2 linked regions of the Xenopus tropicalis genome follow. The protein of the gene in region 2 interacts with the protein of the main gene of each other region in a pairwise test. Links are inferred from orthologs where the notes say so. Each region holds a gene or a part of one and is shown on either strand. Other genes may lie near its edges.

Evidence for each region.
Region 1: the proteins of dmd.3 (region 2) and ctnnal1 interact in binary tests that used the Homo sapiens proteins (3 or more experiments, as listed by UniProt). The two-hybrid records come from large-scale screens. The link is inferred for Xenopus tropicalis from reciprocal best matches to the Homo sapiens genes DMD and CTNNAL1.

What each region holds. Positions count from the first base shown.
Region 1 is NC_030682.2:77,054,042-77,058,268, forward strand, and holds the start of ctnnal1 (alpha-catulin), read right to left. Parts: upstream 2,801-4,227; 5' UTR 2,564-2,800; coding exon 2,438-2,563; intron 1-2,437. UniProt on the Homo sapiens protein: May modulate the Rho pathway signaling by providing a scaffold for the Lbc Rho guanine nucleotide exchange factor (ARHGEF1).
Region 2 is NC_030678.2:107,802,535-107,806,034, reverse strand, and holds part of dmd.3 (dystrophin), read right to left. Parts: intron 3,143-3,500; coding exon 3,020-3,142; intron 931-3,019; coding exon 793-930; intron 1-792. UniProt on the Homo sapiens protein: Anchors the extracellular matrix to the cytoskeleton via F-actin. Ligand for dystroglycan.

The sequences.
Region 1 (4,227 bases), on a different chromosome or scaffold from region 2:
AGCAGTGATCCCCAACCAGTGGCTTGTGAGCCCCTTGGATGTTGCTCCCAGTGGCCTTAAAGCAGGGGCTTATGTTTGAATTCTTGGCTTGGAGGCAAGTTTTGTTTGCATAAAAAAACAGATTTACTGCCAAACAGAGCCTCCTGTAGGCTGCCAGTCCATATAGGGGCTACCAAATAGCCAACAACAGTCTTTATTTGGCACCCCCAGGAACATATTTTATGCTTGTGTTGCTCCCCAAGTCTTTTTACACTTGAATGTGACTCATGGGTAAAAAAGGTTGGGGATCCCTGTACTAGAGGATGGAGTTCAAATTACAAAGACAAAAATAAATTTTACAAATTCTGCATTGTTAAGTATATTATTAAGTAAATTAGAAGCTTTGCATTCTCTTGAGTTTTTAGGAAGATATCGGCTACATGTGCCTGCACCTGAGTGTATTCCATTCATTCGGGTGCAGGCACAGGTAGGAGGTGTATGGCGGTATTTTCGGCAAGTGTTTTTCAGCTTGCCGAAAATATACACCATACGCCTGGTCTGACATTAGCCTTAGAGCTCAAACCAGCACTACCCTGAATCACACAACACAACTGGCATTATACTATAATCCTCCTTAGCCACAATTCTCTGCTCCCTGTAAATTCTGCCAGCTAAACAACAAGCAACATAAACTGAATTCTGAGCACTGGGAAAACAAAGATCAGGGCTAGCATATATTAGCAGTAACCCCAGAAAAGTCTTGAGTCCCTTGTGCACAAAGCACACCAAAGCTGGATTTTAGATAAATATAACATTAGCTTATAAACAAGTAACTCATAAACCCTACTCACACTGGCACTTGGAAACAAGAGGGGGGGGGGGGGAGTCAGTATTGCAAGCTAATTATACCCATATTTGGTTGGAAACTTTGGATAATTTTGACTATATTACTCAACCACCTGGGCATGCAATTTCTTCTTAAGAAGAAAACTGAAAATCTTATTTGCCAATGCACCCTTTGGCTTTTAGTAAGATTCTATTATTCAGCCCAATAGAACAATATAATTTCACCATCCTTGTGCTTGGTCAATTGTGCAGTACCCATTTGTTTGGCACAAACTTAATTTGAAGGTTTGGTCACTGTATGGATACCTGCTGTGCTTACCGTCATTATTTATTGTGTTGGTTTTTCAGCATGTCAAATGTTATATACCCTTATGCACAGTGTTTCAGAATATGATGCCACTGTACAAATGAATCCAATACTAATGATAATAATCACGATGAGCTGAAACGTTTACTAACACATAACATGCATTATTTAGAAATGATGATGAACTGCTAACATTTTAAAGGCTTATTAAAACATGCTTTGGTGAAGAGACTAGTTTCTCTTTATAAAACTTGAAAAAAATCTATTTGTCCCACATAGCATAGTACTCTTCTTATATACAAGTATAACAAATAGCACATATGACAGACTGATGCAGAATGAGGCCAGCTTTTTGACTGGTGTAGTGAAGTGAAGAAGTAGTTATTTTAACCCCTAGTGTGCTTGGATTGAATATAATTTCAGAGAATACATCAGTTTCAAGGCTCTAGTATATCAGGACCAATACAAACAGCTTCTAGTTTAAATGCAGCTGGCTGCAGCTTCAGCTTCTACATACAAGAATCTATTGCACAAGTGTCAGCCTTTTTCAGGAAAGCAAGTGCAAAAGGAATAAGCAACAAAGAACTAGTCACACACCTCCTTATAAGGGGCTAGATACACACACTGCAACTCAGTGCACAAGGGACAGTTACACCTAGGTGCACACAACACACATTACTTCAGCACACAAACACAGCTTTCACACCATAACATTGGCACAGACACTTTAAATTGACAGCTTTCCCTTCCACTGCTTCCAACCATTTACATTTTTACCTCAAAATATGTTAAAAAAAAAAAAAATCTATATCCCTGTACTATGGAGATTATCATTAACCCATCCACTGCTTCTGGCCAGAAATAAATACCACAAAACTATAAAAAGTTAAATTCTTTATACTAAAATACCAGTGGTTTGTCAGATTTTACAAGACTATGAACATTTATATTTGTGAACATAACTCCCAGCATCCCCTGACAGACAGGCTGGCTTCTTTAGTTGTACAAAAGCTAAAGGGGCAGAGGTTAGTCAGGCGTTTCTAACGCCAGCACTGCATAAGTGTCGTCAAACAGATAAAGCATAGACAGGTCAATATTTTACAAAGTTACTTTAGCTGCATATATAATGGGTTTGTTACAGTGTGCCAGTGCAGGCGGGGAATCTACGCTAGGCGGACAATTACAAGCGAGACATTGCCCCTGCTGGGTGCAACCGAGCGCTGTTAAAGCAGATCAGTAGTTAACAGAACGCTTATTGCGCCTCACAGCAGATTGGACTCGCCAGTGTTTTCCTTGGCTGTTTACCTGAGACACCAAAGGGATCAGAGTCTGCTCCACAGATTTGGTCTTAATTTCCAATCCCGTATCAATGCTGAAGCCAGAAGAAGACGAAGAGGAGACCCCACTGCTGCTGCAGGGAGAAGTGGCCATGGTTCCAAGAGGCTTTTGCAAAACAGTTCCAGGCTTTGGACGAAAGGCTGTGCTACGTGTGACTTCCACTGCTGCTTTCGACCCTTTGGCTTCTCTCCCCTACTCGTACTGCTCCTCAGAAGCCCCAGGCAAGGATCGCCAAACTACAAGAACACAAGGAGAGACATCACAAACCAGAGCCCCACGCTGCAAACCTGCACCTCTCTGCTGTACAGTCTATGCTTCCACAAATTCCTCCCCCATTCTCTGTCTCCTCCTATTTCACCTCCCACATCCCAGCCCACCAAGGAAAAAAAATCCTCTCGCCTGCAACTTTCCCATTCTTCTAAAATTCCTTTCTGCCTGTCCTAGGTGAGCAAACACAGCGCGGCTGGGTTGTTCTCCCAGTCCAGCCGTGGATCGTGTGGTAATTAGTTATAGTTGGCGAATTCCACAAGTAGGTCCTTTTAAAGTGACTGAATTAGACAGATTTAATAGAGTTTTACAGAAATTACTTCAGCCTTTCTAATGTATTATACATGTTACAGGGATGCCTGTATGCAGTGATTGAACCCAGCTTTAGCATTCATAGTCATCTGTTAATATAGGGTCAGCAAGTTATGCAGCACTTCATATTAATTTATAACAAATGAGGTTACATAGTAACAGTAGGTTGGAAAAAATATAACAACCAAGGGTTACAGAATACAAACAGGATCAAGGGGGCGCTGCTCACAATATTAAGAAATAATATTCTTCGTATAAACATTTACCACAGTGGGGATACCTAAACGCCAAATTTTACCACAGCTATCAACACTTTCCTGACTGACAGGAAAGTCCTGCACAGAAGGATCAAAGTCGGAAAGGTTTTCCTGCATTTTACGATCGTTCGGTACAAAAATTTCCTGACTTTCGGATTGCCAATACTATATTATTGTGACTAATACGATTTTTTAAGCATATTAGTGATATTTGTGATCTTAAGAAATTATCGTATCCAATCCGAATTTATCCCATTCGGGATTTGAACTCGTGTTTTCATGAATGTGCCCCCTAGTGTGAAAAACAATATTGTGCCAATGAATTGTGCTCATCTAAATATAGAAGTAATGTGTTATAAAAAGTAATGTTTCAGACTGATTTATTGAATATTTCTCTAAAAAACCCCACTAGCCCTGCCCATCTATTCCACTTTCTGCTGCCTTTCTCAGGCTGTGCAGGGGGGCTGTTGGCAGTCGGGCCACTTCACTGTAGGATAGGAACCAATCAGCAGCTAGGCTGACCTGATAGGGAACTGAAGCCTGTCTTTGCTTGTGTTACAGCAGGGTTGTGATTGGCTCCTCCCTTGCTATTTTTTTTCTGGCAGGAGACGTTTTGACATGTCCACCCCTCATTTGAAACACAGACAGGGACCTGAGAGGATCTATAGGGAGCTCCAATAAAGGGGCCATTTTTACAGATAGTATTAATTTTTAGCCCAAGTGAAACCAGCACCATATATTATTCATAATTACCTACAAGATTAGAGGGTTTTTTTTTATCCTATATGTCTCCTTTAACCCTTTTAGTACAAGAGATATAACAGTTCTAGTTGCCCTACAGGGCCCATATTTTACTATCTGGCCATAAAAACTTATTACTTGATGCCAATGTTCTTAACCAAGTAAAAGATAAAAATATAG
Region 2 (3,500 bases):
GATGTTCTACCTATGAACAAAGTGTAAAAACTCTTTGTGACGCCCCTGCTGTATGTGACGTGCTGCTGTATTTATACTTAAAATATGTATAGAATTGTTTCAACTTTTATTCTAAAACAGAATTAAGCATTTTATACAGCATTGCAAATTTACTGGGTTATTTTGCCAGATAATGCAACTATACAGATGTAAGTAGAAGCAAAGAAAAAAACTTAAAAAAATACAATGAAAACTCAAAAATTCTAAGTCTAATGGACTTATTTATCAGTTTTCGAGTTTGTGAATTCAAGTGTGTTTTTCTAACTGTATTAAACTCACATTTAAAAAAAAACTTGAATGCTTGCTTATTTATTAACATGGAAAACTCGAATAAAAAAAAACTTGAATACTTTCCAAACTTAATTGACTTTTAGATAAACTTGCAAGCTTTTAGATGCTGATGTTTTACACAGAGTTTTAATTTATTTTGCACTTAATAAATATCAGACATTAGAGTTTTTGAACCATTTTTCAAATTTTGTGAGTTTTAGCACTAAAAACCTTTAATCGTGAAAAAAAATCAAACTCAGTTATTGATAAATTACCCCCATAAATTTGTATTACTGTCTAATTGCTATTTTTCCATTTGCTCATGATATCCAAACCATATATATTATATATATATATATATAAATAAAATATTTAAACATTATTAAGACATACTGTATCCTTAACAGTAAAAGCACAAAATCATATAAAAATTTTATATTTTACTATAATATCAACCTTCTATGTATATATCATACTGGTTACCTTTAGAGTATTGTGTTTTGATTGTAAAAGCTGTTGCTTTAGTTTTATTTCTTCACATTTTTTCTCATCGGTAATTTTTTGTTGAAGATTATTTCCCCTTAGCAGCAATTCCTTCACAGGCTCTTCATTATCTTCACTCTGATCACAAAAAAGGAAGAAAATACACTTGAAAACTATGATAAAATACAATAAAGTAGAGCATGATGTTAAAAGGGGGAGACGTTCATGCTCTTGCATCTTCTGCTAGATATGCATTAGTGCAAATCAATGTTTTCTATTACATTACAGTAATGATGTAGTAATTGGCAGCAACTTGGAGGAAGGGAATACCAAGGAATTTTAGTGTTGGTTAATGAACAAAAAATGTGAGTTGCTATTACTTTTGTTGAGCACGGTTACCATTTACTTCTCTCTTGGAAACCTCTGTTACGAATAAAACAGAATGATTTTTGTGTAAAGTTACCCTGGATGTTGCTGTCTTTATACTTGAGAAGTTATTACTAAGGCTAACATTTGAGTGAATTTCCACAGCAGCAATTTAATTCTTTATACCACCATTTCTGGCTCTTCACAAATTGCTCCTTTATGCATAGAGACCATTTCACAAACATTGACAACGCCTATGACTAGTGATGAGCGATTTTTTTTTTTTGCCAGGCATGGATTCACAGAGAAATTCTGCTTTTATCGGTGAAAATTGCAGCAAAAACTTGCCATGAAAAAATTTGCCACAACAGAAGACAGAAGTCGCCGAGGCAAAAAAGTCCCCAAGACAAAAATGTCACTGATACAAAAAATACAGATTAATTTAATGCATTTGGAGAGAGAAAAAACACCCACTGACATGAATACATTTGGAGTAAGAAAAAAAAAGTTGCATGTAAAATTTGTCAAGTGTAAAATTTGTTGCCTATTGACTTCAACGTGTTTCACAAATTTTTCAGACAGATTCACTTCCATTGTCACTACCATTGACATAACGAATAATGATGAGCGAATCTGTCCTGTTGCACTTCAGCATAAAATTCGCGAAACGGCAAGAAAATTCGTGAAACGGCGAAAAATTCGCGAAACTCATTTTTTTTTTGTCGTCCGCGGTTTTTTTTGTCGGCCACGGCTATTTTTTTGTCGCCCGTGCTTTTTTTCACGCGACCCTGCCCAATTTTGCCGCGGCGAATTTTGCCAATGGCGAAATGTGGAAATTAGCTGCGAATCCATGCCTGGTGAAAATATTCGCTCATAACTAATAATGACTAATCTATGGCAGTTTAGTATTACCATTTAGTGATCCAGTTAAGGCTCTTACTCATTAAGGTTCAACCCAAAATAGCAACAATTGCTCCTCAACAGCTCAGAGCATTTTCTCTTTTTGTGAATATAGTTTTTGGCAATAAAATGCCCCAGCTACTAGTCCAAGAACCTACACTGCAGTTAATATACAACATAACTTTATGATGCCACTAAGAACCTGGAAGAAATGGAAAACCTGACTTACATACATTTTTTATTTTTCTTCATTCTTCAGCAAACACATATATTTATTTTTCATTAATTTTTCATACATTTTTCATTAGATCCAGCATAGATATAGTGCTTTTAGGTTTAGTGTGTTTATTTTTGTTTTTTTGTTTTATTTTTAAGTTTCAAGAATTCAACATCTAAGCATATTTAAATCTGCTCAGGATTTATAGAATATTAAAAAAAATAAAAATAAAGCCAAAACTGGCACAGCAGTCTATATTTTCTTTCGACGACTAACTACATCATTTAAATAAAAGAGAAAGGAGATAAATCTCTGTGCTGTACATATTTAAAAAATCTATATATGGAACAGAATTTAAATTATAGCAATTTATAGTTATTAGTATTCTTTAAATACCACTTGACTGTCAGTTTCAAGATTCTAATCTCCATTTATGGCATTTGTGCTTCTATAAATCCTTATTTTGCATTCCTAAGAAACATTTCCAATTTGCTATGACTTACAAATGAATTCATTAACATAAATTGACCATACTGAAGTATCATACAAATGTACTGTAGGCATTTGCATTTATGTACAGAAATAACATCTTAAACTTGAAGAGTATGTCTTTTGGAGCTCAACAACATTCTGGCGACTAAACATTGTAGACTGTAACAGTGTTTAGGAAGTTTTTGTAACTGAACAAAGTATTTTCTCTTATTCTCTGTTTGCCATTTCAGGTCTCCATCACAACTAATTTACCATATCTTTATTGAAGTCTTCTTCTGTAGGATTCACTCCCAGCTGAATTTCAGCCTCCAGTGGTTCAAGCAATTTCTGCATATCAGAATTAAATTGCTCCAATTCCTTTGAAGAAACCAAGGCCTGTAGAAATAAGGTAAAGCTTATTTAAAACAAATTATTTTACAACATAAATAAGCTGTAATTTTTAGCCTTGCTTTTAAAGTAAACAGCATGTTATTGAACTTGTATACGTTGTACTTCATTCTACCACCATTATAGTTTATTATATTTCATTGTATATTGAAAACATGATATTCTCCAAATACAGCATAAATGCATATGCTCTGTTTTATATTTTGATAATGCTTTTGTAGCTATCTATATATTGGGTTTGTAAATTAAATTAAAACAATTATTTTTGCTTGCACAAGACCTGTTGAGTGGTGTACTTTGTGGGACTGTTATATTATTTGTTACTAGCACTCAGCAGACAATATAA